3 linked regions of the Daphnia pulex genome follow. The protein of the gene in region 2 purifies or fractionates together with the protein of the main gene of each other region. This does not show direct contact. Links are inferred from orthologs where the notes say so. Each region holds a gene or a part of one and is shown on either strand. Other genes may lie near its edges.

The links.
Region 1: the proteins of protein LSM14 homolog B-like (region 2) and complement component 1 Q subcomponent-binding protein, mitochondrial-like purify together in Homo sapiens (affinity purification with mass spectrometry; 3 studies listed by BioGRID and IntAct, with this or other methods). This does not show direct contact. The link is inferred for Daphnia pulex from reciprocal best matches to the Homo sapiens genes LSM14A and C1QBP.
Region 3: the proteins of protein LSM14 homolog B-like (region 2) and ATP-dependent RNA helicase me31b-like purify together in Homo sapiens (affinity purification with mass spectrometry; 4 studies listed by BioGRID and IntAct, with this or other methods). This does not show direct contact. The link is inferred for Daphnia pulex from reciprocal best matches to the Homo sapiens genes LSM14A and DDX6.

What each region holds. Positions count from the first base shown.
Region 1 is NC_060026.1:13,817,019-13,827,213, reverse strand, and holds complement component 1 Q subcomponent-binding protein, mitochondrial-like, read right to left. Parts: upstream 6,272-10,195; 5' UTR 6,212-6,271; coding exon of another isoform or gene 5,964-6,211; 5' UTR 5,890-5,963; coding exon of another isoform or gene 5,743-5,889; 5' UTR 5,686-5,742; coding exon of another isoform or gene 5,448-5,685; 5' UTR 5,126-5,447; coding exon 4,909-5,125; intron 4,847-4,908; coding exon 4,696-4,846; intron 4,631-4,695; coding exon 4,431-4,630; intron 4,374-4,430; coding exon 4,285-4,373; intron 4,222-4,284; coding exon 4,072-4,221; 3' UTR 4,013-4,071; downstream 1-4,012. Other genes in the region: translocator protein-like, read left to right, coding at 1-45; translation initiation factor eIF-2B subunit epsilon-like, read right to left, coding at 440-502, 574-852, 917-1,089, 1,149-1,379, 1,453-1,645, 1,705-1,858, 1,925-2,047, 2,113-2,354 and 3 more; uncharacterized protein LOC124203752, read left to right, coding at 5,448-5,685, 5,743-5,889, 5,964-6,211, 6,272-7,177, 7,243-7,746; serine/threonine-protein kinase PAK 2-like, read right to left, coding at 8,416-8,751, 8,815-8,964, 9,032-9,157, 9,218-9,413, 9,477-9,664, 9,735-9,772, 9,896-10,144.
Region 2 is NC_060022.1:6,099,914-6,110,111, forward strand, and holds protein LSM14 homolog B-like, read right to left. Parts: upstream 5,275-10,198; 5' UTR 5,118-5,274; coding exon 4,997-5,117; intron 4,730-4,996; coding exon 4,554-4,729; intron 4,483-4,553; coding exon 4,366-4,482; intron 4,307-4,365; coding exon 4,225-4,306; intron 4,170-4,224; coding exon 4,050-4,169; intron 3,820-4,049; coding exon 3,437-3,819; intron 3,374-3,436; coding exon 3,090-3,373; intron 3,030-3,089; coding exon 2,546-3,029; intron 2,487-2,545; coding exon 2,463-2,486; 3' UTR 1,616-2,462; downstream 1-1,615. Other genes in the region: uncharacterized protein LOC124196543, read left to right, coding at 12-788, 886-1,339, 1,394-1,563; cytochrome c1, heme protein, mitochondrial-like, read left to right, coding at 5,911-5,979, 6,056-6,103, 6,169-6,317, 6,378-6,510, 6,572-6,865, 6,927-7,151; nucleolar protein 10-like, read right to left, coding at 7,391-7,516, 7,586-7,685, 7,756-7,967, 8,040-8,117, 8,177-8,267, 8,339-8,532, 8,588-8,748, 8,809-9,073 and 3 more. UniProt on the Homo sapiens protein: Essential for formation of P-bodies, cytoplasmic structures that provide storage sites for translationally inactive mRNAs and protect them from degradation. Acts as a repressor of mRNA translation. May play a role in mitotic spindle assembly.
Region 3 is NC_060018.1:12,394,672-12,404,590, forward strand, and holds ATP-dependent RNA helicase me31b-like, read right to left. Parts: upstream 5,628-9,919; coding exon 5,533-5,627; intron 5,470-5,532; coding exon 5,397-5,469; intron 5,335-5,396; coding exon 5,100-5,334; intron 5,042-5,099; coding exon 4,898-5,041; intron 4,840-4,897; coding exon 4,745-4,839; intron 4,685-4,744; coding exon 4,562-4,684; intron 4,505-4,561; coding exon 4,376-4,504; intron 4,216-4,375; coding exon 4,035-4,215; intron 3,866-4,034; coding exon 3,654-3,865; intron 3,590-3,653; coding exon 3,524-3,589; downstream 1-3,523. Other genes in the region: 28S ribosomal protein S2, mitochondrial-like, read left to right, coding at 545-612, 682-934, 1,355-1,372, 1,426-1,474, 1,530-1,966, 2,029-2,229; tyrosine-protein phosphatase non-receptor type 14-like, read right to left, coding at 6,922-7,050, 7,114-7,277, 7,346-7,505, 7,582-8,148, 8,237-9,277, 9,347-9,482, 9,544-9,632, 9,711-9,869.

The sequences.
Region 1 (10,195 bases), on a different chromosome or scaffold from region 2:
ACCATTTGGAGAATGAATTTACCAGCAAACAAGAAAAAGATTTAAATGGATAATCGTTTGGTTTGGATTGCTTTCTTTCCATCCCACATTCCAACGTCTTCATTTGATGAGCATTTCCATTTACCGGTTAATCACAAAATTTCTCAAATAAATGCATCCGTTAAAATAATTTTGTACGTCCTTTTTCTTTACGATTTAACCCATTTGGAACTACGAAAGGATTTTCAAAATTGGTTTCTTTCACGACATGAACTGAATCGGTTACTCTTAAATACGCCACCATTACACTTATTACTTATGTGACCAACGCCTGTAATTTTCAATGGTTATCCAAGTAAATGTGAAGTAGTGACATATAAATTGTGAAAAAAGATATACTTCAATAAATTCGATATTTGTTACAGCTCTCAGAAACCAGGACAAATTCAAGTGCGACTTATCAATCCGATTCCTCCGATGATTCCTCTTCCGCTTCTTCCAGCCATGTAATAAATGGTTCCACCTGTTTCAAAACACAAACAAGTTAATAACAGGCCAAGGATCAAGTCAACTTTTCAAGAAATTAAGACGTACAGTTTTCCGGATAGTTTTCAATGCACTGGGATCGTTCGGTGGATTGGTGTACCACTCCAAAATTGCGTCCTCACTCAACACGTCCTCGCCGTACAAAAAATGGAGAACTTTACAAATAGATTTCACAAAATGGGAGTTATGAACTCCAAATTCTTCCAGAGCCTCGAGAGAATCCAACATCGACTGATTGTTTTTCAAGTAATTTCTCATGACAGGAAGAAAGTGCTGCAATATCGGCCTTAGAGCGACCCAATCTTCGTTGGTGCCAGTGGCGGCCTTCTGTAAAAGCCAACCAAATTTCAATCAAACATCTAATACAAAAAGATTCGCCGTTAAAGTTTACCTTAGTCATGACGGATGGCAACGAAAGCATAGCTTTGATAACGAGCATGTTCACCTCTTTCATGGTAACGTTATAAGCGTATTTGGACGAGTTAATTTCAAGAACCAAGTTGTCACCCTTGATTTTTTCTTCGTAGCCTCTTTGAAGACTCTCCAAGACTTCATTATAAAATGCTATAGAAAAATTCAACAAATTAGTAAATTAATTTTTTAGGTTCACATAGGCAACTTACATCTAGCATTCATATCCTCTGGCAGGTCGCCCACGTCCACTTCTTCTTCGTGTTCTTCATCTTCGTCGTTATCAGCTTCGTCTTCGTCTTCATCTTCTTCACTTTCTGAATCTTCATCAATGTCCAAGCCCCATAATTCATCAATCAAAGACTCTGCATCGGAATCTTCTTCGACGGGTCGTTGATAAACGTAAGCGACACTATCGGCACTAAACGGTTTAGCTACCTTATCTAAAAGGGGAAACAAAAATACCAATGTAACTATATTTAAATTAATAGACATACGTATTCAAGTTTGCATTACCATCTTCTTCGTCCGATGTTTCAAAGTCGTTATCACATTTGGGAGGATGGGCCATGAGGCGAGTATTGTCAGGGATTTTGGTACCGGCAGCTAAAACTACTCCGGGTCCAATGACACAGCCTCGGCCGATTTTGACTCCTTCATTTAACACAACACCATCGGCGATGAGAGCTACTTCAATGTGGCAGTTGTTCTAATTAAAAGCAAATTGTTTGATTATTTATCAAAAATAAAATTTTCGCTGGGTCTAACCTTGATGTTAACATCGTCCCAAATATAAGCATTATTGATGTACACGTCGTTTCCGATTGTGCAACGGCTGCCAATGACGGACTGGGTGACGAATGTGCGTTCTCCTATTTTAGAGTTTTCTCCTACCGCCACGTCCCTTTCCAAAACACTTTCCCTATTTCGCAAATAGGGTGTTATCATGGTAACATGGAAATAAAAAAGAGAAAAGGTTATTGTGTACTTGGCCAAGGTGACACCAGGCTGCTTGTAAACATTGTGACGTGATAAAGTGTGTCGAGGAGTTGTTTCACTCCGATTCAAATCGGGAACAAGCGGAAATGCCCATCGTTGAATAACATCTTTGCTGTAAAAATAAACATTTTCGTTACTTGATGAGTAGAATTTAAAATGTTGGAAAGTGTTCCTTACCTCACAGCATCATACATGGGAACGTTCGAAACATGTGCCGCGTATGATCCTTCCAACTGATGGTAGTAGATGGTATTATTAAGAATTTCTTCGTTGATGAGAATACCTCGGACAAAATCTCCCCACGTTTGGTAATCGAAATTGTCGGAAAAAAGCGGCAAAACCACGGGAGAACAAATAGAAATGTGCGTATCAACCAAATCATAGCGCAAATCAACAAGACCGTGCTCTTTAAACATTTCCTGTAGATTTGATATGAAAATCAATAAGAATCGTTGGTTTCGAAACACTGAAAGCAGAAACTCACCAAAGGAAAACTGAGCTTCTTCAGGTTTGTTGTTTGCTGGTAATTGAGAATACGACCGTTGGTGGGATTGATGGCTAAGACGAGTTCTTCTTCTGCAGAACGGGATCGATGACCCGGGAAAGATTTCTTAAAAATGTGTGTCATGACAATCCCTTTATCAGTTTTCCTCTTTTCTCTATTAAAGAGTGCATGAAATCAAAATAAAAACTTGATATGGATTTGATTACAACTTTATAGAGATGTTACAATTTACCTGTGCTCTTCTAATATGGGTATGAGCTGTACATTAGAAATGACATCAGCAGACATCAATATAAAGTCTCCTCTTATCAATGACTTTCCATCTATGTCTCGAAGGGAATCTCCAAGAGATCGACAGTCATCAGGGCTTTGAGAAATAACTTCAATGGACATAGGAGACACAGATCTCATCCATTTAGATTCTTTGAGGTACTGACGAATTTGATCAGCATGTGCAACACAGTAAACAAAGGTTTTCTGTACTCCACTAAGAAGTAGAGATTCCAAGGCATAGTCAATCATGGGCCTATTGACCAGCGGAAGAAGTGCCTGATGTAATAATAGTTAAACAGTTATATGTGTCCTCAACGTTAAAAAATCTAATTGTAGGATCTTCACCTTCGGTTTTGAATCAGTTACAGGTGCGAAGCGTATTGAAAAACTATCAGCGATTAGAACAGCAAGAACAACATCTTCTTGTTTAAGAACTTCAGAACCGGACTTGGACATTGATTTGGAAGTTTTATTGGAGCTCATTCTTTAATTCAGTATTTCAATTCTCTTGTGGCAAAGAAAAGTATTTCTTATAATTTACAACAGCTGTAATAAATAGTGTCCACATGTGAGCTCGTCCAAATTCAAGGAATTGCAGGAAGGGAATGGGATTATGGTAATGAGAAATGATGCAAAATATTGTCTGCTACAAAAGTTACTTTCTTTCGCCGCTAGGCTATCTCAATGGAGCAGACGATCGAATCAAAGTACACATGATTTGATAATGCTGTAAACTACCTAGTACATAATATGTTTTGAGGACCGGTTTTAATTGAAATTACAACCGTGTTGAATAAATTTTCAATCAAGAAAAGTGCTCTAATTTGTTAATGATCTCTGCTTATCCTGCCCAATCTTCATCTACAGTTCAAAGGTACAAGTGTGGGACACACAAAGCTCTTAAAGTATGTTAATTGATTATTGTATTTTTATTTTTCTAGGTTAAATTTGTACCATGAATAGTGTAAGTGAAGCCTGTAGCCAATTGAAGCAAAATTATGATGCATGTTTCAACACATGGTTCACAGAAAAATTCTTAAGAGGGGATCATTCAACAGACTCATGTGGTCCTTTCTTTAAGGTGTATCGTGAATGTGTTAGGGTAAGTTAATTTTGGTCCAACATTTCTGTCTTTTATAGATGTTTATCTACTCTTTTCTGTTTTAGAAAGCAATCCAGGAACAGAATATTGACCTTAAAGAAATAGAAAAAGAAGTAATGGGGACTGAAAATGAATTTAAGACCCCTGATGGTTCTAAATAACCATTGTTTTGGAAAACCATAAATAATAAATCAGCATTTTAAACAAAATGACTACATAGCTTTTTATTTTTCATCTCAAAACTATTCTAAACCTTTCATTTGCCTTGGACAAAAGACTGAAGGCTCTCTAACAAATTAATAAATAGATGGTGTTCCCGCTTGGTAGCTAGATCGCTCAGCTTTTCAGCAAATTCGTTGGATACTCCTCGTTCTTCGAGCAGATTCATCAGAAGGTCGTACATGTACTATAACGAAAATGTGAAATATCAGTTTAATTTGGTTAAAATATTGTTGACTTTAAAATATACCCCATCAAGAATGTCTCCAGCGACAGCATAAGTCTGATCATTATGTTTGTCCTCATATACTGCAAGTTCATCAATAGTGAAAATGTCATCTGAAAAAATCGAGTGTTATTTATATTGTTGGCTATTCAAATACAATTAACACTTACTTGGGGCATCTTCAACAGGCTCTCCTGCATCTTGAATGTAACTGCAGGCAAATCTGGTTACTTGATTTCCCTTCATTAGTTTGACTTCAAAGTGTGGTTTTGATTTCATTTCAGCCTGGGGAGGATTGTCAGCTTTGTTGTCAACTTCCTCACTGATGTCAGCATCAACAGAATGGTTGACGTTAACTGTTATCTCAATTCTGTTTAATGAATAAAATTAAGCCACAAGTTTCAATTTAGAATTGTCCCATAAAGATTTACTCACTGTTCATCATTAAATTTCTTAGACAATACTATCTCTGAACCATTGTGTTTAACATCAAATCCATCCAAGTTAGCGACAGGCCTGGCTTTGCTCATTCCCTTCTTCTCAGCAGCAATTTCCTCTGAGAGGAACTCAATCAGCTCTTTGTCCCCTATGATGCAACATATATTATGCTGTATTTAAATGTGACGTGAAATGGTTAAAATGTATTACCTCTTGTATGAACTCCTCTGCATTCTCCACATGGGCAGGAAGGGCTCAGGGGAGTATGTTTGAATGCTGGAGAAAGTTTTGTTGGGACAAATTGATTTGTGGGATTAGACATGTACCACAAAGACCTGGTAATGGGTTTCGACAGGATAGACCTCATGGACGCCGGTAACGCATGGCGTGAAACGTTTCGAACGACATTTATCACCGAAAATGACATTATGGGAATGAGATTTTGAACTTTAACAGAGTCTTACAAATTGAGATTTTAAAGAATGAATAGAGCGAACGAAGATGAACTTTATCAGCGAATTAAATAATAATTCTGCAAGGGACTGTGGTGCAAGAGCAAGACTGCAAGTTAAGACAAGAATCTTCTGGCAAAAGCAGAAGCCACGAGGAAATATATCGATTATCGAGTTTTTTCCACTATCGATTAATTGTTGTGGGTTTTTGTTTACAACTTAAACTGAACTCAAACTCCCTCCGAAACTGTGAAAACAATAAAAGGAATATTTAGTTAATATTCAATCGTCTTTAAGATGGGACCTCGTAACAGATGTTTTCTGAGTCCATATTGCACATCTGTTACATCGGGTAACGGAAATGAAAAATACTTTAGTATGCCAAGTATCCCAAAGGTAAAAGCTGGGCCTATGTGTGAATTGACAAAACAATTAATCCAAAAGAGACGTTCTTTGTGGTTGAAAGCATTGGGTCTTACTGAAGCTGATACGGAAAGAGAACCAATTTTAGTTTGCTCAAAACATTTTGTATCAGGTATGTTAGATAGAATATGTGTGAAAATAATTTGATCATATTTCAATATCTATATAGGTAAACCTGATGTAGGTGTGGATTGGGTGCCAAGTTTAAACATTCCGATTCCAAAAATCATACCTGTTCCACCCCCCACAGAAGAGCACAGTTACTGTCAGTCAACAGTGCCACCAACTGCTTACCAATGGAAGACAACTGTTTCAGGTACGATAGTGTCTAAGTCATTATCACCTTTTTCAACCTTTGCTTTGACTACAATGTTGTAAATTCATGTATAGTTAAAAAAAAAAGATTATTGAGTCAGAGGCGTAGTCGTCGTCTACCAATACTTAAAAAGAAAAAAGAGAAGGCTATTGAAAAAGCCACGAAAGCAGAGAAAAAAGCCAAAGACATCGAGGTAAAAATTCGAGAAAAGAAATGGAAGAAAAAGAGACTTGCCATAAAAAAGGCAAAAAGAGAAGCAAAAATTAAAATAGCAGAGAGAGAAGCAGCTCTTTTATTAAGAAAGAATAATAAAAAAAACAAGGTATAGACAATTTTTTGTTACCTAGAACTTCACCAAATAATAACAATGTTTAAAAATCAGGTGCTGCCTGAACCAAATGCAAATCAAATTGAATCAATCGATATGCAACTACCCTCTGCTGAGGATCATTTCGACACGTCGTTTACGCGAATAAGTGAAATTAGTAAACAGTTCAACACATCAGGAAATGACTCCATCACAACCGAAGTTAAAGATATGTCGAATACTCTACCGCCTGTATCAAGCATTTCACCAACAGTATCCAACGGTCATCTGATAATTTCCGGACCATCCGCTCAACAACAACACGTCGAGGCAAATTTGGTTGTTGCGTCTACGGATAAAGTTACCCCTTTGGCACCATCTGTTTCAAAGAACGAATTTCTGCAGCTTTTATCGTTAAGTCAAATCGGTCAAGGTTCAGGAAGAAAATCGACGCCTGTCAAAATTGCGCCAAAAAGCAGAGATAGCAATGCTCCTAAAAGAGTAACTGAACCATTGAAAAACACCGTGAAACTTCCCTCCAAGATTTTGATTGTGAGAAAAGATGCATTTGATAAAACTTCGAGAACCGTGATAACGCTAAAGTCATCATTAAATACTCCGCCTCACATCGTACAAAAGAATGTTGGAAAGATTGTACAGCAAATCCAAGCTCCTCCTTCTTCCACGACACTCCAGCAACAACCAAAACTCGCGGGAAACTCGACTCCGACTATTAAGTGTAAAGCTTTTTCTTCAACAGATCCAGCCCTCAAAACCAACGTAGCTGAACCATTAAAAATGCTACAACCTGCTGCCAAGACTTTGATTCTGAAAAAAGGTGAACCTGCTAAAACTTCACCAACTGTTGCAGCACAAACAAAATCTGCAAACCCTTCCTGTCCTGTATTGCCAAAAAATACGGAGGTCGTATCTCGAATGGAAATGATGGAACCATCATCGCCAGCTCCTCAAAATGGACTAGTAATTTATTACTGTAGTTGCCTCAGTATTTCTTTGCGATTTTTAACGATTTGGTTTTTCTTTAGATATCTCAAAATCTGCACAACATCGATACTTACATCCGAGACCTGATGCTTAAAAAGAACCCCACCGCTCAGGACACTAATCTGAGTTCTTTATTGCTGAATCTAATTAATCATCACCAGAAGAACATTTTGGATTCGGGAAAACCAGCTGCTCAAGCCCAAGCCCAAGCTTCAACTGCTCGAGTCACTCGCGATAGTGCAAACCACGAAGTTGTAGACCTAACTAAGGACGACTGTGACTATATTCTCCCCGATGTTGCTGCCCCAAACAATTTACGCCCAACTTGCAATTGTCGCAACTCCGTTGAGGAAGTAACCTCTTTGAGATACCAACTAGAACAAAAATCAGTTGCATTGAAGGCTTGTAACAGCGATATAGATAATCTGAAGAAAGAGCTTTGCGAGGCAAAGGAGTACATAAGTAATCTGGCAGCACAATTGCAAGAAAATACTCAGACTTTATGTTCCATCTTAGCCAACAGCCCACATGAAATCCGAAAGTAGTTACCATAATCACCTGGGCTCGTTTTGTCGCACGATCTCTCAGTTGTCTGTTGTGCAAAACGTAAGTGATATACAGGATCTTGGGCGCCATGGTTTCTTCAATCTCTATTTGCCTCTATTTAAAAAAATATTTCGTTGTGATGTATAAATACGATTAAACAGAAATTACCAAGTTTTGAATTAAATACACGGAAATTTTAGAATAATTTTTCTCTGAATTTCGAGTTATTCAACAATCTGGTCGTCTAGTCAATCTATTCAATTTGATGCGCTTATTTAAATTAAAATCGAATTGGAACGAAGGTTCACAGTTGTATATTGCATCAATTTAATGCACATAAGGATAAAAGCCAAGCGACAATCAATCCGTCTTACGGAACATAAAATACTGTGAAAGTTAAGGCTTGATGAACAAGACTAGGGAAAGAAAGAGTGGTCCATGAAAACCTTAGTTTTGGGGGGTAGCGACAGCTTGAAATTTAAAACAAATAAGATACTTTAGTCAAATGATTGTCCGAAGTTAAAAAACAAAATGGAACACCCAAAAATCTTTGTAAGGATCATTTTCGTTAAAAATGGTATGGCACTCGGTTTTGGTCCCGCAAGTTTATACCCTATTTCGTTTAAAGGGACTTTGTCATTTAACAGCTAGGGTAAAGGCAGTTTCTCTCACATCGTTTTCTTCAAGATTTGCTGAGCAGCTTGAATATTTCCTTTAAGAGTTCGCAAATCAGAAGCACGGAGGAGAAAGGGATGCTTGAGTAATTCCTCGCTGGAAGCTCGCTTGTCTGCATCTACTTCTAAGCACCGCTCTAAGAAATTTTGAAACTCGGGACTCAATTTGTTCCATGACGGAATTTGAGGTCGACCATTTGTTGCGATCAAGAACAAAGCTCTCAGTTGAGTTTCTTTTAGGTAGGGTGGCTCTCCGTCTATCATTTCGATGGCCATGATACCAAGCGACCATATATCTATCTTCTTACCGTACTTCTTTTTGGTTACAACCTATTTGATTTTAAAATATACTTAGACATTGTCATTTTAAATCCTAAACGAAATGTAAATTACCTCTGGGGCCATCCAATAAGGAGTTCCCACCATCGTTTGGCGCTTCTCATCGCCTTGGATATTTGCGCAAAACCCAAAATCTGTCACTTTAACTGTTCCATCCATGCCAAGCAAAACATTGTCAGATTTGATATCTCGATGGATAATACCCTGGTTAAAAACAAGCAGAAAAATTGTTAAGGGCTTTGTTTGGAATCATAAGATCTCCAACACTTACTTTGCTATGTAAGTACGTTATTCCAAGAAGAACTTCGCGGCAGACAGCAGCAATCTGTCCTTCTTTGAGCACCGTTTCTGTTACGACATCAGTTAATGGTCCTCCTTCTAGAAGTTCCATTACCACCTACGGCATTTCAATTCTTTAATCATTGGCGATCAAATATTTTTAGCACATTGCACTTACATAAAGGAAATCTTCGTCGTAATACGCATCAAGAAAATTGACTAGATTTGGATGAATGATGTCACGCATAACGAAAATTTCATTCAGAATCATTTCGCGCTTAGGTTGCTTTGACAAATCAATCTCTTTGATGGCAACACGTTCATTTTTCCCTTCTGACTCTGAATCATTGGCAATGTAAACCGTGCCAGACGCTCTAAAAATTTAGAATATTGTTTAAATGTATCGAATGAATAAATATTATTTAAATAGCACATACCCAGCGCCAACTTCTTTTAGTCGAACATAACGCATAAAGGGATTGCCACATTTGCAAAGCTTTCTTAATGCGGAATCAACTTCATCATCAGACATCATACCATCCATTTTAATTTCTTTTTTGCGAATAAGAAGTGGGCTTCCTCCATCGAAATCTTCTTGTTCATTCTTTGCTTCCTTTAAATTACCCTTAAATTTGAAAATTGCTTCAGCACATTTTATATAAGAAGATAGAAATAAAATTAAAAATATCATTTACGTCTTTAACGACGACAGTTTTGTTGAAATTAGGTCCGCCTGACACAAAATAAAAATATTATTAGGATCATTCAATAAAAAAAATCAAAGAAAATCAAAGAAAAAAAATCGATAAAGCTCACAGATTCATAAAATGAAAGCTTGGCGTCGAGGAACACTTACAGTCATCAAGATTTGTAGATTCCAGGGATACACGGCTACCTTTAGGCGGAACAGCAGGCAGGGGCGGTGGAACATGGCCCGTAGGGAATAGGGACGGCCGAGGAGACGTTGTCGGTGTTGTAATACCAACAGGTGAACGGGCGGGTAAAGCGGGAGGTGTTTGGGGCTGTTTGCTAGGTAAAGTCATAGAAGCCATACCGAGATTCACGGCAGCACTAGCAAGCATAGCAGTCGCAACTTTGCTTGATCCTTATTGACGAGAATGTTGCACTCAGCTGTTCACTTTTTGAATTCAGAAAG
Region 2 (10,198 bases):
CTAGATAGACGATGCAGCCGTTCAGGTTTCAGTGTGTTACTTTGTTTAGTCTAAAGAACATGGCAAAATCATTTCTCTCTGTGTCGTTTATTCGCAGCATCGAAGACTCAATGGACTGGTATGATCACATAGCTTTCAGTTTTTTGCTTTTTAAGAAAGGCGATGAATTGGTAGCGCTCGAACAAATGCAGCGATTAATCAAGCTTCACGAACGAGGCTGCCCTGAGTGGAAAAGGGTTGCGATCCATTTGGCCATTCAATCGGCTGAGATGAATCCTAGTGCTGTGATTGAAGCACTGTTTCAGCTAAAGCAATGGAAACTCTTGCGATTAATAGGTTATTCCGTTTCAACGCCGATCGAGTACATTCCTAGAGGTCATCTATTTCCGTTTAGAGTTGGAATTTTTTGTATTCTGGACCAGCTGGATCGTTACGACGCACATTTGTTAAAAAGTTTCATAAACAGCATGGACGCAACAAATGAATTCCAAGTGATTGAAGTCGTCGTTTTACAGTGGATAGTGAGCGGCATTATCTCTACCAATGATTGTTCGAAATTGACAATTGCTCTCGGCCGAATCGGCAGAAATGATCTAGTAAACTTAAGTTTACAGCTACAAAGCGGACGATCAGGGACTTCATCAATGAGGGACGAATGCTTCAATCAAAGTATATTGAGGCATTCTACGATTGGAAACAACAGACTCCAGCCAAGCTCATCTACCGGTTACTGCCTGATTGTACACCAGAAAAACATTTACAGAGAACGGGATCCGATATTAAAACACGTTGGGAAACAACTAACTCAATTAATCTAAATAGAGATAAAATAGGATGAGACTAATTGTTCATTTATTTTCCCCTTATCTTTTATTGCGAGGGTAGAGGGTCGAACTCGACGTACCAAATTACCAAGGAAATGAAGCCGATTGCCGGACATTAAGAGAAACATTTCTCTCTCTCGGTTACCAAGTTGAAATAGCTGAGGACCTGACCAATTTTGAATTGAAGCAAAAGGTGCTGGATGTCTCACGTGGAGTTGACTGGACGAGATACAACGGCCTGACCCTTTGCTTTTTATCCCACTGCATTCAAGGCCAAATTTTAGGCAGCAATTCATTGACCATATCATTCAATAAAGACGTTCGAAAATATTTTAATGAATGCTACTGTCCTGGCTTAAAAGGAAAACCTAAAGCAATAATTTTCTCAACTCCATTCGGCTCCGCTGGATGGAATCCGGTTTCGCAGTTAGATTGTGTAGGAGGATACAACCCACATTTATACGACAATTTCCTTGTTATTTGGCCAACGTCTTACGTTCTGTCTGTTTCAAATGGTAATTATAACGAAAACTTAATTTTTACATTTAATTTTACTTTGAGGGAATTAGGTGGATCACAATTTATTACGGAATTCAGTACGGAACTGAAGAAATCGAATGCAGCAAACGACACAACTCTTGCGTCATTCAGGACTGCCATTAGTACCATAAATAATCGCAACAACCTTACTCGATACCGAAAACGTCAGTTTTGGTCGATTCAGCAATGGAATGTTTAAATTTCGCATCAATTTGTTCATAAACCAAATAACAAGTCAAGTCATAACAAAATAACTGATTACACGACGATTTTATTTACTGTACTTTTGCTTTTACGAGCTAGTCGTACATGCCCGCAAGACATAGGAGCACATAAACAATACAGAAGACGATAGTGCCATTTTGTCGGTGTTCTTCACAAGTCGTGGAATTTTGTATACCAAAACAAAGTATGGACGAAGCGCGAGTCACGTACAATACGAAAATTACGGTTTGCCACGTCGTGTAAAATCACTCGCGGGTTCCAAACGTTGCACACATCTCTGCAAATCCGAAAATCTGACCAACTTGTTCAATTACATGACTTACATCCCACGCACATTCATTCAGAAAAATTGGAAGGGGAAATTGGGACAATGTAAAGGGGGCAGCTGGGAGACATAAATTGAGTGAACTGGGGGGACAGATGCAAAATATGAATAGACGAGAAAAGAAAACAAAGTCAAAAGTCTCTACAATAATTAAGGAAATAACAGGTGAGAAAAAAACAAAAGAAAAACGAACATATCAACTTCCTTCTGTTCTAGGTGTTAAATCCAAAGGATCTCAATCCTCCCAAAAACAATCCTCACCAGGTTACTGACGGACCCGATGAAACACTTGTAGCAGGAATGCTCCGTACGCGAAGAGAGGAGGGCCCAACAAGAGTTACGATCACTTCACACCGACGGCGAGAAAACAAACCAAAAGAAACTGTACACCCACTCGCACCACTCAATCACTAATCCGACGCCGTTTTCCAACTCTACCAAACAGAACCTCTCACACCAATTGCCCCCCATATTTCTCATCAAATGTTCAACGGAATCATTCCCCATGCTTCAAAGTAGCGCATCAATAACCGGCTTTCGTACATTTTCTACGCTCGATTCTCCTGTTGTTGCTATTAAAGAAAGAAAAAAATTAAAATTTTGAATTAATTGTTGCAGTATCATCACTTACCCAATTCCTCCTTTGGTTGTAACCACCTCTGGGCTGACCAGTACTTTCGGAGTCGCGATTTCCTCCACCGTTACCTCGTCCACCACGGCCACCTCGGTAACCACCTGATCCCCGATAGCCACTGCGTTGCTGATAGCCTCCATCTCTTTGCTGATAGCCTCCATCTCTTTGCTGAAAACTTCCATCTCTTTGCTGAAAGCCGCCATCACGCTGTTGATATCCTACATCTCGGTTCTGATATCCGCCATCACGTTGATAACCACCTTCACGTTGCTGATAGCCACCGTCGCGCTGTTGATAGCCATCGTTATTCTGCTGGCGATAATAACCTCCACCTCCGCCGCCACCACCACGCCCACCGTAATATCCTCGGCCACCACCGCCTCCACGATTAAATCCACCTCGGCGTTGATTGAAAGGTAACCCGAATGTCTCGGCGTTTAATTTTCGCTCCTGGCGCCAATCTGTCCGTTGAGTATTGCTACTTAAAATATAATATTATAAGTCACCTGTCCATCAAACCCATAAAATTATGATTTCTTACCCTTTGCTGCGCTCCACAGCCTCGCAGCTGATTGAATCGAAGAACGAGCGCGTTTTGTCGTAGCAGATGGGTTTCTCTGGAGACTCGGAGCCCTTATCATCGTCATTGGGTGAGACTGAAACCAAAGCTTCTGTTGAAGCTTCGCCATCGGCAGAAACTGCAACGGTGTCAGCAGACTCGCCTTCTGTCTTCTCTTTCTTGTCTGCCTCAGGAGGGCCGCTCAATACAAGTACTGTATCACCACCAATTTTCATCTTGCCCATTTTGGTTTTCAGTTCCTCAAACTAATTTAAATCATAAGACCATGAAGCGCACGAACACCTTCAGAAACTACACAAAATAGTTACCTTGACGTTTGCAGATTCAAAGTCATAATCTTCGTCGAACTTCAGGGGTCCCTTGGAGCGATTGTTAAAGTTGCTAGCAAAACGATTGAAAGATCCTTGTGGATGTCCACCCTGAGATCGACCGCCATCTCTGCGATCAGTATTCTGACCTCCACCAGCGTTGTTACCACGTGCACGGCCACGAGAATTTGATCTTCCATTTCCTCCCCGCTGTTGCTGGCCTCTATCGTTCTGTTGAGACCGACCACCACCACCTGATCCACGGCTGCTAGTTCGTTGATCCTCTTTCTCACCTAGCAATGGTGATTTCCTCGATTGACTCGTCCCCGAAGCGCCACCAACAGGCGTTGAGTTGTTGGACCTGCCAACTCCACCCAACAAATCTAAGGTATTTCCAATAAACAAGATTAGACAGGTGTTACAACCGAATAGAACTACAGACCAACGCCACCAAAGGACAAAGCCAAAGCAGTTAACAAGTTACAATTGCGGGTTCATGCAAATGTAGAAGCAGCTATATATACGCATGCAAGTGAGTGGGAATGAAGCAGGCAAAATTAGTCATGCACTAAGCAAAGACAATTTATGTAGGCAATGTCTTTTGGCCTTGTACCTTGGTCTCCCTCGGATAAATGATCCGGGTGAGGGGGCATATCCCCATGAGGGGAAAGGGGTAACTCACTGGCTGCAGCAACAGCGGCGGCTCCACTCAGTCCAAGTCCACCAGTTAAACCTTTTAACAAACAAATCAAGTTGGCTACAAAACACTAATGAAGACAAAGTTTTACCTCCAAGTCCTGCACTCAGGCTGGGCGCCATCAGGTTTCCTAGCTGTCCCATAGGGCCACCAGAAGCTCCACCATCAAGATTCTATAAAAAGGTTTGATTACACATCAAATCTAAAATTAAAACATGCAAGCAAGAATTACTGGATAAGGATTCAGACCACCCAACGGTCCAAAGTTGGGCCTCATGATACTTCCAGCAAGTCCAGTTGGTTGCTGCAGTCCAGTTGCACCAAGTGATCCAACACCTGGTACTGAATGCTGCACACAAACATGAGAATATTTTTTTAAAACTTCCATCATGTCATCGTCAATCAAAGTGATAAATTTACCTGAACAATGGCTGGATCATAGGGAAGAGTGCCTGGTATGGGAGGTTGAGGTGCAGGTGGTTCACAAAGACGAATATCTTTAATATCCTGACCCCTGAAGATGATAAACTCAAACACCTCATCTCTTGCAGCAACAGGGTTATCTGTAGGCCGGTTTTCCGTTCCAAACATACGCACTAGAATAACAAAGATGATTAGAACATGCTGACATTCACAGTACTTCTTACTGAATAAGGAGAATTATTCCCTAGCTATAATTAAAAACAAGTACAATGACACAACTGACAAGTCACCCTACCAAACACTGCAACCAAAATAGATGCCAACTATTTAAATTAGTCATGTCAACAGTTACTATGCATAGTTGACATGAAATGAAAAGAAACAGTTTTCGAGTAAAATGTTTCGTATAAAATACATCACATCACAAAAGAAATGCTTACCTTTAGCCAAAGCCAAAGTTGACTCATTGGGATTCAGTGTGAATAGGATCCCTTCGTAACGGATCTCCGACTTGGAGATGAGACTGATTTTACTGCCTAGTAACTGCATAGCTTTACTCATTTTCGAAATTCAGCCTTAATTGGCTACACAATTTCCGTCCCAACTCGATGAATTCGGATAAGTATTTTCGTCTAATCGGAATCCGTCGCACCGGTGATCGAAAATTGAATGATTTCCAAAAAGAAACGAAGCTACACAAGAGAACTCAACTCCGTTGTTAGGGGCGACGTTGACAGATTTGTTCGAAATTTCAGCAACTGCAGCCTGTTGACGAAAGTGCCTCGGGATGTTTCGTGTCTTGTTGCTAAATTGGAGGTAGAGTGTGATTTGTTTTAATCCATTTAACTTTTTTCAACCTGAAAAGAAAAGCAACTTATTATTCCCGTAGATTATTTGACTATCCAGTATCTAATTTGTATTTTGTTTAATGCTACTTTCCCCCAAGTTTTTTTTTTCATTTTCATAGCATGTGATTGTGACACAAAATTTTTTCCAAAAATGATTTCTTGAATTATTCCAATGAAATATGGAAGTGATAAGAATTTTTTAAATTACAGATCGATGAATAATACCAAAAAACCAAATATAAATAATAAATAATGTCATTTGTGGTTTGAAAAGCTAACGAAATAAATCGATTGGTGATCTCATTTTCTTAAAATTAAAATTTTACGGTAGTAAACTTAGAGTGATTAAATTTATTAATCAGTTATTGATAATATATAGTCATGCAAATTTATTTAATCAAAAATAAATGATTAACTTGAAAAGTCTTTTACGTAATATATGGAATTAATTGATGTTTCAACGTTGCATTTGACTTGGACGACCCGTTACGATAATTTCGTCAAAGATGGCCGGAGTTGCTGGTAAATTCGTGAAATCTGGGCTTCTTAGAGTCCAAAACAATGCCGTTATCCAGGTTTGGAATGCTTTAAGCATACTATAATATTCATTTAATCCAACATAGGGAAATAACGTTCGAATCTTGGTTTTAGCAATCCCATCTGTCTACGTTGCGTGAGCTCTCGGCCGGCAAAAAAGCGGTAAGAAATAATACAAGGAAGTGTTTTAGGTTATCAAATCTCAGAATATTGCATAATTTTCTTAGGGATTAGCGGTAATTGGGTCTCTAATTGGTGGAGCAGCTGGTTTGGCATACACTTTAGACCAGTCGGTAAAGGCTTCAGGCCTGGAGTTACATGCTCCCAGTTTTCCATGGAGTCACAATGGGCTCTTTTCATCTCTGGATCATGCTAGGTATGCTTAATTTTAAAGTGATTTGTTGTTCTGAATGTACATAACTATTTTTGGAAATAGCATACGTCGTGGTTATGAAGTCTACAAACAAGTCTGCTCTGCATGCCACAGCATGAAGTATTTGGCTTATCGCAACTTGATTGGTGTCAGCCATACAGAGGATGAAGCCAAGGAGGAAGCTGCTGGCATTCAGGTCTGTATTAATGGTTTAACTGTCAATTTTCCAATGTAGTTCAAAGTAATATCCATTGTAGGTTACTGATGGGCCCAATGAAGATGGTAACATGTTCCAACGCCCTGGTAAGCTTTCTGATAGATTTCCGAGCCCATATGCTAACGAAGAAGCTGCCAGGAGCGCCAACAACGGTGCCCTTCCACCAGACCTAAGTTACATTACCGCTGCTCGTCACGGCGGAGAGGATTATTTATTCTCTCTGTTAACTGGCTATACCGATCCACCAGCTGGTATCACATTACGTGATGGTCTTTATTATAATCCTTATTTCCCTGGAGGCGCTATTGGTATGGCTCAAGCTCTTTACAATGAGGTACGATTTCTGTTCACTTTTTCAACAAAGCGATTCTAACAAGCATATCTTTGATCTTAAGGTGATTGAATACGCGGATGGTACGCCAGCTACTGCCAGTCAAATGGCTAAAGATGTGTCCACCTTCCTCAAGTGGTCAGCAGAGCCCGAACATGATGATCGCAAGAAGATGGCTTTGAAAGCTTTGATGCTATTCTCCTTCTTGATTTCAGTAGCTTACTACTGGAAACGCCACAAGTGGAGTGTTGTTAAGAGCAGAAAAATCATCTACAAGCCAAAAGAATAGGATGTGTCGATTACAGAAAAATTTTATGCAATGTAGAAGGGAGGATGACGGTGCAATCTTTGAGCTCTCCCTACCATCATCTACATTTATTGGTTTAGACACCCAAAAACCGATTGATATAGCGATTGTACATTCGAGTCAAAACATCTTCGACTCAACTGTAGGAATAATAATAAAGATAAGGTTTAAACACCGTAAACACGAAATGTCTTGTTTATTTCACTTAATCAACAAATAAATCAAAATCTTCCGCGACCACCCCGCCCACGACCCCGTGTTCTCAAGTGATTGGCAGATCGAATAATTTTACGTCGCTCTTCATGATGTTGTTCGGCTTGTTCTCTAGCTTTTGTGACGCGTTCACTCTAAATGGTCAAATTTTAATTAATCCGTAATTTGAAAAAAAAAAAAAAAAACTAAATTATGATGAATACCTGTGGGAGCGTGAAAGTCATTTCTCTAGAACCAGCTGATGGAGCAAGCTTAACTTTGTCTACATCTTCTTCTAAATGAATTCGCTCACCAAGCGAAGCCCTGAGTCAAATTGAAATAGCATACAACATTAAAATGTAAACACAACAAAATCGAAGATAATTATTGATACTTGGCCAATTTCTTCTTAGGTTGATCAGTGGTTGAACGGAACCCTTGGAATTTTTGCCCAGGTTTTAATGCCATGAACTTAGGACCTTCCAGCTTCTCTTGTTGTCTTTCCAATTTTCTCTGTTGAAACTTCTCTTCTCTTATAATCTTATGCTGTAACTTGATTTCATTTCGAAGACTTGCGTCGTCAGAATCACTGCTGCTGTCATCGGTCTGTTGGGGAAAAATTGTATACAGTATAAGAAACGTTTACCATTAACATGCGGTATGAAGTATTTGTATTACCGAAATTGTCCGTTTGCGACCCTTTCTTTCACTATCTGAAAATTCATCATCATTAAGTGGATTTTCCGTGCTCGTTCCCTGCAATGAATTAATTACTTTATTGTGTCATTTTGTAAGGAGCTATTTTTTATTCCTACCTCGACGGGCTCGAACTGGTCTTCGATGAGAGCCTTTTTGATACGTTTTTCTCGGATTTTGTCCAAACGTGAAACTGCAGGATTTAGTAATCTGTTGACGGAATAGGAACGCATTGTTTACACTACCAAGTCGTTTTGTTCTACATCACAAATAAATATTACCTGAATTCTTCAGAAGATTTGTCTATCTGGAAGTTCGGGTTTACGAAAAGATCTTTGAAACGCGAATCATTTAGAATGTTGGAGCTCATAAGTAATTTTGCACCACTCTTCTTTCCAACTGCTTCAGCATCATCAACCGCCTTACTATCCTCCATAAGCTTAAGTGCAAGCTCACGGTTAATCGCAGGAAGTTTCTAAAAAACAAACAATTATTGTTTTTGATCCAAATTTGAATTTTAGGTGTATTACCTGCAATTGAACTCTGCTGGACCGCTGTTGGTCAATTGTTTCCTTTACTTTATTCTGTTTGTAGCGGGTAAGTGATAAAGGTTCAACAATGGATTTGGCTTTCCTATATAGTCGCATGTCGATAAAATAACCGTGCATGTAGGCACGCAATAGATTGGTCCCTATAAAGGAAAAGGCGTGTTAAAAAGAAGAATAGAATTCTAATAAAATTTGGAAAATACCAATAAGGTGACCGAATCCGAGGTCATGTAGTTCATCTACTGTCAAGAATTTGTAATCGTCATAGACGGCAGCAGTTTCTCCCTCCTCTAATTCTTCTGTCAACGAGTCAAGGAAACTACACCAACGAGGAGCCGGTCCAAGATTAGGTATGTAATAAGTGAGCATTTTTTTGTCTTCCGTAGCCATGAACATCATACCACTTGAAGGTACCAAACATAAATCGTTCAAATCTGATGTTGCTTCAACAGAAACGTAAGGTTCACCCTATTGACATTAAAAGTATTATAGCATTTTGATTATTATTTTTTAATTTTATTTACCGTATTTCTATCCCACAATCGAACGATTCTGGAATCCATTGACGCTACCAAATCATGATTCAGGTGATGAAAATCTACTGTTTTTATTGGAAGTCCATATCGGTGGTCTTTCACTTTAGTCGGACGATTGGATCGCAAATCATAAAGTAAGATCTGGCCTGTTGAAGTTCCAACTCCCAATGTCAGTGCATCACGGAACTTGACAGCCGTGACTTGAGGGACACCGGTAACTCTATAATTAAAAACATGGTAAAATGTGATCTAAAAACGTTAAAAAAACCATTTACTGAGTGTCAGGTGTCACAGAGTGTAAAGCACAATCGAGAACTCCCACTCTATTCCTTGCACGAGGATCCCATGCCTCTATTTTTCCTTCTTTGGAACCACAGACGAACAGCTGATGAAAGGGATTCATATCACAAACGTTAAGAGTGGTTGCTTCTGTTTGAAATGAATTAAGAAACCTCCCTTCTTCTAAATTTAAGCGATACACGTCTGGCCTAAAGAAGATTTACAGTTAACTAGAGCAACTAAGAGTACTCTAATCTTATTGCATACCCGGTACCAACTATGTAAAGGTTGCATGACTGAAAATGATACTTCAAATCTCTTCCAAATTTCGGTATTCTTGTTCTATAGTATCGGCCATACTGAGCGTGAAATTCGACAAATCGATCACACTGCAAGAAAACTACTTTGCTGTAATCCTCTGACAACATTTCAAATTTGATGACTTCTGCATCCATACACCGTTCAAATTTCATGGACAGATTAGCTACTTCATAGCACCGAACTCTTGGTTTGTAGATGCCTGTAGCCATAATATATTTCCCATCCTTTGAAACTTTGATTGAGGTGCTAACCCCAGGCATGTCAAAATCTTGAATGAGCTCCACTCGCCTTCTGATGTCCAAGTCTTTACTTTGCAAGGCTCTCTTTTTTCTGTCTGACAACCACTGCAAAAACAAAAAGAAAATGAGATTTTTTATACAAGACATTAGCCTATCTAAACATCAGAAAATTTTTTAAATAAATTTATGATATTATATTAATCTAGTGATTGTTACAA
Region 3 (9,919 bases), on a different chromosome or scaffold from region 2:
GTAGACTTCTACGACAATAGTTGCTGAAACAATATTGAGAAAACAGTAAACAACCTAATTCCTTTATACAGTTAATGCAAATAAATTAAATAATCCCTCTTAAAATTCTTCACAGATGGAATATTAACGATTTAATCAATATTATAATTCATCCGGTAGAGATGGAGCCCTTTCCACTATCTACCAGACCCGACATATGATGTCAACATGCAGTGATTATGGCATTGAATTGAACGTAATTTTATCTCTAAATACTAACCTTGGATAACTTAAATTTCAACAAGAATGGGATTTAAAACTTCACTGTTAAATTAATTCAAAACAATTGCATGATTCCGCTCGAGGTCTATGACGCTTTGAGAGCTTCAAAACGATACTACTGCCGCTCGCCATCTATACTTCGTTGCCGAAGCTTTTCTTCATTTTAGTCTTCATTATTGACGCAAAGTTGTTGACGAAAGGTTGACATTCATTTTCGAGCACCCATTTAGGCCATTTTTTCTCGATTCGTTGTTATTTATACAACACAAATACACAATAAACGATGGAGTACGAGGCTGCTGTGAAAGGCCGTTTAAAATTGAAAGGAACTGCTAATAAAGATATTCAAAAGTAAGTTTATAATTATCAGCTAAGGTCATACCATGTTCTTTGTTTATAATTTGATTTGTCTTCCATTAGGAAACTTAAGAAGAAGAACAAGGAAAAGGCTAAGAATGATGGAGAGTCTTCTAAAACTAAAGAGCAAAATGAAACCCCACAATCATACAAGCAGCCTGTGGTTAAAACAAAGGCTCAATTGAAGTTTGAACAGATGAAGGAGGAACAACAGAAAAAGCGAATTCTAGAAAAGGCCTCTAAGACTCACAAGCAACGTGTTGAGGAATTTAACAGACATCTTGACAGTCTAACAGAGCATTTTGATATTCCTAAAGTCAGCTGGACAAAATAAGTTTTCTGGAAATTTTATGTGCATAACATTGTCTCATTCAAATACATGATTTTCAATTTCGTACCAGCTGTAATTAGTTCATTAATTTTATTAATAATATTTGTTAAATCCTCAACATGAAATTAGGAGATTATTTTACAATATTCTATTACAAATATTCTACATTTCTACATCTTCGATTTAGTTAATCGAAATTTTTCATCGCGTTTTTATCTCATTCTGTCGTAACCTAGCAACAACGGGTGCAACAACATCGTCTGCTATTAACTTCTGAAGGAGTAGTGCGGCGAATTTTTTTTCTGCTTTCACGATGATTAGAACAATTACAAATCGTACAGCTCGACTTAAATTTATTTTGCAAAGTACTGTCCTTTCCAATCCTTTCTTGTTTGTTTTTTCTAGGTTTCTCCTGGAAATTTGGTAGGTGCTTAACACAAACATGTTCACTCACAAGTGATACTTCTCACTGCCAGAACGCAACAGCTTTGAAAGTTAATCAACCAACTGAGCTTAAAGAGAGGGGTATGATAATTTGGAAAATTGCAAATCTTAAAATTATACCTTGTTTTACTTGTAGAATTGAAGGAAATCACAAATCCTCTCCGATTTCCTGATTATTTTGGTGTAAGGAATCTGTTCAGACTGAAGGATTTGTTTGATGCAAAAGTGCACTATGGACACAAGGATGGAACACTGCATCCCAATATGAAACCCTACATTTTTGGATCTCGACTAGGTCACATCATCTTTGATTTGGATAAAACAACTGAACTGTTACAAGATGCACTCAACTTCACAGCCCATATAGCCTATAAAGGAGGAATAATTTTATTTGTATCTCACTATCCACAACACACTTTAACAGTAGAAAATGCAGCAAAAGAAGCAGGGGAATATGCTCATGCAAGAGAATGGGATTTCCATCTCTTGACAAATTCTGAAAAGATTTATAAAGGTGTAACCCGATTACCTGATCTTATCATTATGGTTTCCACATTGAACCCCCAGATGCAGGTATTTGTACAAATCTTACAGACTTAAATCTCAAGCTTACTTGTTTACATGTGTGCATTCAGGAACACACTGCTGTCAGGGATGCAGCCAAAATGTGTATTCCAACTATAGGAATTGTGGACTCAAACAGCAATCCAAATTTGATAACTTATCCAGTACCGGGTAATGACGATTCCCCAACAGCAGTTCGGTTATATTGTAATTTGTTTCGCGATGCCATCTTGTTGGGCAAATCTAAAAAATCAGAAGTACCATCATCTTAGATCCTAGAGTATTTTTTGTGAAGTATAATAAAATGGATTTCACGACATTTATTTTCTTTCTTAATTAAGTTGTTAAAAAGAAAGCAATAGCCAAGTGCACAAATTTTAACCAAAACATTATACAAAATTGTTTACATTTTCTTACTTGATCTAGTTATCGTTATTGATTTTTAAAGAAAACTAAACCCGCCCAAGGTACTACAATGAAAGTTCATTACACATACTTTATCATTATAAATTGTAATAGTAAATTCACAGAAAAATTAAGAAAATGAATTCAATTTCAGAAAGCGTTTATTAATAATTTCGACAATTTGTTTAAACGGCAAACACTTGAAATTGAAAAGAAAAATTTTTTTTTTGTTTCTTCTGGAGGTGAAACTAAGAATTTTTATGTTTTTTTTTGTTGTTTTGAAGTCGACTTCTTGAGGGTATACAGATGGGAAGAAGTGCATAATGACACTTGAGATCTCGCTCATTCTATCAGGTCACGTTCGGTAATGTTCATCAGCAAACTGTCGCGTTCGGGATATAAAGCTCGTGCAATTCGGCGAGCACAGAGTCACAATCGGTATTAAGAGGAGTACGAAAAATTCCATCCAAACGCAGTTGGGCGAGAATTTTGGTACGATACATGTTAACAAATATACAATTCACATTCAGGTAGTGGGTCGGCTAGATTATGTATATAAAATGTAACGGGCGGCTTTCAAGTCTTATATCGGTGAAACTTTCCTCGACGAGGGAGCCATTGTAACATCACCAGTGGACTGCTTTTGGGAGCGAGATTCTTCCATTCCAAAAGCAATGCAAAGTGTACCAAGCTGACCCCCCCAAACTTCATTTCACATACTTACTCCCTGACGGAATCTCATCTTTTACGGAACCTGCCGCCCTAACGCTTTAGCCTTCGACGTTCACACATCCATTCACGCAAAACATTGTACCCAAAAAAACAAAACAAAAACTTTTCTCCTAAACTGAAAAAAAAACTGGCTCTTCGCCACCGTGAGAATTTACATATTTACAACAGTCTTTCGATAGCGCATGCTTAAAGTTATCCTTGTTTTTACTCTTGTACAATGGTTTTTTTCCCTACATGCTGCAGCACTCCTCCAATTGCTAATGAGTGCTTTTCATTAATTCTGATCTTCAATACATTGGTCCCAGTGAACGACCTTTCATAAATTTCACTTACAGGATTCATTTTCTTTTCTTTTTTCTCAATTTTTTTTTGTGTCCTATCATGACGTTGTGTGATGCATGCGCTTTTCGAAGACATTCTCTCGCCTTTTTACTTTCCTGATTGCTCCTCGGAATCTTCTTGGAACTCGGCCACGTAGAGGGATTTGTCAATGACCTTCATTGAAAAAATAAAACAATGTAAATACAATGAATACTTGCACGAGATATCCAAGACTAACCTTAGGAATGGGCTTGATTTCAGTGCTAAGTTCACTCTCAATGCGATGCAGGGCGAAACGATCTTCATAAGTAATCAGATTGATAGCAATACCCAGGTGTCCAAACCGACCCGAACGACCAATCCTGTGCAGGTAAGTTTCAGCCATCTTGGGAAAGTCGAAGTTGATGACCACGTTCACAGCTTGAATGTCAATACCACGAGTGAACAAATCTGTTATAAAAACGCAAAAGATTAGTTTCAACATCCTTTTCTCTTCTTGGCTTCACATTATTAAATGAATCAGATGTTGATTTTCTTTCAGACGAAAGAAGGGGAATCCAACAAAAAGTTCATCATAACAGTCGAGCACTTAACATTACAAAGATGAAGCAAATCTTACCGGAGCACACGAGGTTACGGCACAGCCCATTACGGAAATCATGGAAGACGCGGTTTCTGTGAGCTTGCTGCATACGGGCATGAATGTAATAGCACGAGTAGCCCAGCTCAGTGATCTTCTTAGCCAAAAGTTCCACACGTTGAGTGGAGTTGCAGAAGATAATACTTTGATTGATCTGCAACTATAATATCAACACAGATATTAATATCGTGACTTTAAAACACAGCAGTTAAAATTAATTCAAGTAAAATCAGGTGTTGATTTTCTCTCAGACGAGAGAAGGGGAATCCAACAATAACTCATCAGTCTTATACTGAAAATCTAAATAAACCTTTACTTACTTTAGAAAACAGCGTATTGAGGCAGTGCACTTTTTGCCGTTCTTGGACAAAAGCGTAGTATTGCGTGACACCTTTCAGTGTTAGTTCTTCCATCAAATTGATTTCATATGGGTTATCAATGTGTTTCCTCTGTGGATACAATCATTGTTAAATCAAGAACCAAATTACAAGAACCAATAAACCTACCATAAACTCCTCGACAGTTACAGGGAAAGTTGCCGAATAAAGCAAAATTTGGCGCTTGGCTGGTAGGAACGAAATTATACGATCCAACATTCCCATGAAGTCTTGAGAGAGCAGTTTGTCAGCCTAGTTACACAAAAGAATAAGAACAATCGTCTAACAGAACTCTTAATAATTCCCACATACCTCATCCAAAACAAGGACCTTACAACGGTCCATTACCGCAATCTTCTTTTCCATCAGATCCAAAACACGACCAGGAGTGGCAATCACAACATGAACTGGAAGAAACAATGATTGTTAAAACTTGCATGGAAGTAAACAAGGAATAATGAATACCTTTTCCAAAGATCCTCATAATGTCATCTTTCAGGTCAGTACCACCAGTAGTCACCATGATACGAATATCCAAATGTTTAGCTAGTTCAATGCAGATTTGGCTTGTTTGCAATGCCAGTTCACGTGTTGGCACAACAATTAATGCTACAAAGAAAAAAAAATTAGGCCCAGAACTGTAAGAAAAACTTAAACTTGTCAGTACCTTGGATGTGTTGCTCAGACGGAACTACTTGTTCCAATACTGGTATACAATAAGCACCTGTTTTTCCAGTTCCATTCTTAGCACGAGCCAGGATATTACGCCCAGTCAGAGCCATAGGAATTCCAACCTCTTGAATGGGTGAAGGTGTCTCCCATCCCTTTTCAAAGATACCCATCAACAATTCACGCTTCAGACAAAAGTCTTCAAAACTTGTTCCCTTAGTGTTGGTAACATCCTGAAATTAAACCAAAAATTTAACCCCCAACTCTCATAGATGTTTGAATGAAAGAATATTACGCTAGTCTGTTTTCTACGATCCTTGGGTGGGATCTTCAACTGAGACTTCCAGAAATTGTCAGAGTTATTCTCTCTAAAATATTAACAAAAACAGTCATGAAATACGAACAAAGAACACATGATTTTTAAGACTTACTGCTTCGCAATTAGCGGCTGAGGACTGGGTCTCATCGGCGAAAGGGCATGATTGTTGGCCACTAAGCTTGGCTGACTAGCAACGGCTTCTGCCATGGTTTTCTCTTCTTTTCTTTTTCTTCTTACTTAACAAAACTTTCGAGCAAAATGCCGAATTCCTTCTTCAACAACGATCACTTGAACTTAAGTTTCTCCAACGAAGGCGAACGATTTCTGCAAACGAAAATAACGTGAAACCAAAGAAGCAGGAACTATGGCTTCAGTCTTCTGTGCACATACAAACGTCGCTTACTAAACCTGAAATAAAATGAGAAAAATCGAATCTGTCAATGGCGGTAAGTCAACAGAATCGGCGTCCATATACACAAAGACTTTTGATCGTGTAACACTGAAGCATTCAATTTCGAATAAAATAAATCTCAGCAAATGACAAACTGACCTAGTAGACCAGTAGTTGAGATATAATAGACAAGTTTTTAAACACGAGCAAGGATGTCAACGGATAAAGAATTGGTTTATCTGAGAAACAGTGTTCACTATGGCGCTCTACGCATCGAAAGCAAAGCAGCGACTGTTTGTGAGTGAGTCAGTCCACAGATAGGGGGAGGGTCGTGACAAACAAGTTAGAGCAAGCAAAACAAAACTTGGATAATATTCAACAATTGACATCACTCAAAATGAAGAAATTAAGAGAAGAAAATATACCAACCTTACGAAGATGTTGACTAAATTGGAAAATAATTAACAAGTGTGTCAATGTTCGGGAACAATGTCTATCTATTTTGCGCGAGAGTCGAAAGGGATCTGAGTAGAGATAGTAGTCGAAGTCTCTGTTTAGTCCTCCTGGTGGCGGTTAGAGGTAATGAAACATCCCTTCAGGGCTTACTCGTGCCTGGCTTAAGGGGGGAGGCGGGAGGATAGGTATATTGAGTTCCACGTCGCCAAATTGTAGAGCATCTAGGGAATTTCAATTATATTAATTCGATAATTTTTATTATTTATTAAATGAATGAAGATCAGGTGTTGTTTAAAAATATCGTTTATTATTTAATTCTCTATCAATAAAAAAAGGCACGTCATAGGGACTAGGCGTGAGTTAATAATCTATAAAATTGCTGCACATCGTGGAGTTAGTAGAAATGCAATAGAAATTGAAGAAACGCATGTGATTGAAACACTCTTTACAAATTGTATAATAGCTTTCCCACAATTCATTAATAGTGGTATGTTATGAAAAAAAGCAAGCAAATAATGGTTGGTGATCATATGAATTGCCTAAGTATCACAAAAATGGAGGAACATGTTGATTGGCTTGTTCATCTTTCAACAATTGAATCAAAGGCCGAATGCATCGTGTGTGTGTGTGTGTTTTAAATATATCATTGCAAGATCAAATGAGTCGAGAGCGGCCAAGGTAAGCAAGTAGTAGGGCATATATTGAACGATACTGGGCAACGGTCTGCACCATAAGCATCCTTTGCTGGCGCAGGTGATTAATAAGTTTCGGGACGTCGACGACCTGTTGATTATAGAAAGAACATTAGCCCAATGATTTGATTAGGCAGATTTGAATGATACTCACAACATTGTGATCGAGTGATGTAAGTAAAACGTCGCAAGCGATGGTGACACCTGTTCGACCAACACCCGCTCCGCAATGAACCAACACTGGCGTGTTTCGGTTCTTACCCAGTGGAACATCAGACACGGAATGTCTTCGCACTGTGTCCATCTCCTCCAAAAAACCTGAAATCAATTATTTTTATGTTAACCCCAAACATTGTAAACAAAATATCCAATCAAATTTGTCTTACTAAGGAAAGAGGTCACATCTTTGGGGCAACCGTGATCAGCCCAGTCAGAGTATTGAAGATGCCAAATGCTGCGTTGTTGAGCTGTTGGCAGGTGAGTTACATCTAACTTTGTGATGGATTGACGGCCGGATAGTTTGCCAACCTGCCGCGTGATTTTGTACTAAACCACAACAACAACAAAAAAGCAACAAATAAAAACAATACTCTAGGTATTCCATGAGCAATGCAATTAGTACTTCGCCAAATTCTAATGTGGCAGCATCTTGTTGCGGCCAATAAATAAAACCGCTGTAACCATTCATGCTGCTATTGCTGACGTGGCTTCGCAAAGAGCTGACCGACTTTGTGTTGTGAGTTGGGGTTTGCTGTCCACCGTTATTGCTGCTTGACGTCGTGTCGGCTAGCATAACGACAACGTAGACGTCACTTTGCCATACCATCTGCCAAAAGTCAGTTACGGTGGATGGCAGTGGACCTTGAGCCGCAATGTAGAAGCGTTGAGCCGAACCAACAGCAGCGGAGATGTGTGATGCATTGATGTAGCCTGTTCGGTTTTCTCGGCTGGGAGTCAATTTAACCCTATTCTCCTCGTAGGGCAAAACGTCTTGATACCTAAAAGAAACAACCAATGGTTTAATTACTAATACAACGCAATAATTTACTGAAAACTGTCCATACTGGTTACGAGATGCGTTATCCGGGTGAGCAGCCATGCTAAAATCCGCACCGGCTTTTCGTCTGGGAATCAGTTCAAATTCCAGGAGAAGTTGGCCATCAGCCAATCGGGATTCCATTTCTTGGCGCTAGATGGTCGTTTTTGTAAGAAAATGGCAAAATAAATCCTCTTCACTATAATTTCAACTAATTACTGCTGAAAATTTGTTGAATTACCAAATGATCCTTGACAAGAGTTGCATCAGCAGGGGCAGCTCTGGCGGGTGAAACCAAGTGATGAGAGTGGGAAGCAGAACTGGACGTTGAATCATTGGTACTTCGCTTGGCGGCTGGGGATGACGAAGGCGAATCGGTCTGGACGCGATTGATGACAGCAGAACGAGCAGAGCTACGGACAGGCAAACCCCATTTTCTCCTGGGTTGGGAAGCAGTTTGTGCGGATGTGGACGGAGAGAGATTCGGCTGGCTTCCGGGCTGGCGTAAGGGAATATTTTGATAGATGGGCTCGCCGTTTCGCAATGTGGCAGAAACTTCTGTCTGGGCTTGAGTAACTGGTAAATGGCTCATCGATCCTGAATTGACCGGTGCCACTCCATTAATAACGGCCACTGCCAAGTCTGGGCTACTATTACTGCCAACTTTGCTATAAGGGTAAGGCGGAGGGGGTTTGTACATTTTCATCATCTGCATCTGCTGTTGGGCACTCTGTTGTTGCTGTGTCTGAAAAGGTGCAGGAGCGGATGGCTGAACAGCTACAGCTGCTGGTTGTTGTACTGGTTGCTGGACTGGAGGAGTCGGATTGAGAAGCAATTGCGCGATATCGTCGCCGTACTTGACTCGAACGGCAGTTTCATAATCAGGTGCAGGACGGTAAGCCGGCAATAAAGCGCGTAAATTTTGTTGAGAGGCAGCAAGTGATCCAGCACCTGATGCGAATCCTCCACCACTGCCCGCAGTGCCAGCTAACAAATGCGTTTGTGCTTGAGCAGGATTTAAAACTGTTAAAGTAGGTGATGAAATTGAGTGTGGTAGGGCTCGAACGCTTCCTAAGCTATCAATGCGATATTCGGCCATTGCACTGGAACTCCTGGGCTCTGCAGATTCAAACATTGAAGTGGATGGGACCAGATTGCTGTTGACAGTGGCACTGTTTGATTCCAAGTTTAAACCAGCTATCCCCATGTCTATATCTTTGTCTTCGGTCGCTTGGGATTGCAGGGACTGGAGAGTTAACAACGTTTGTTTGTAGAAGGTATGCTAAAAAGCAAACCGGATCACAATTAGAATGTTTTCATTAAAATATCGAGTAATTTAAGTAGACCCTACTTGAAGAACAGCTAATTTCCAGACATAACGGGCTGCTTCAGGATCATCGAAATAAAAGTTAACATTTTCTTCGCTACGTTGGCATTCGATACCAAACATTCTCTTTTGATTCAGCAGGTTTGTTATATCGTCCCACCTAGCAAGTTTGAAAACTTGAAAATACCGTAAAGAGAAAACAACACGATCGACAGCGCTACCTGTAAAAAACAACTCGCTCCGTATTGTTACGCATCACCAAAATTCCTTGCAACGACGTAGCAACCAGTGCCTCGCCTGCTGGTTCTTCCTGAAAATACAAACGGAGAAAGTTTATAAAGCGTGCATTCAAATCTCTAAACTTGAATTTGAAAATTGGGGTAAAAACCTTTGCTAAAAATCGTTCCTGGCCGTAACCGTCAAGATGTTGGGCTTCCACAATGTACCAGCATTCGGCTACAGGTTGAGGAAATCCAAGTAGTTTAGAATGTTGCGCAGCTACCGCTTCGGTTACAGCATCCAACTGACTTTCGTTAGTCACAAGATGCTACACGGAAAATTTGTAATTAATAAAATTACCGACTAAAAAAAACATAT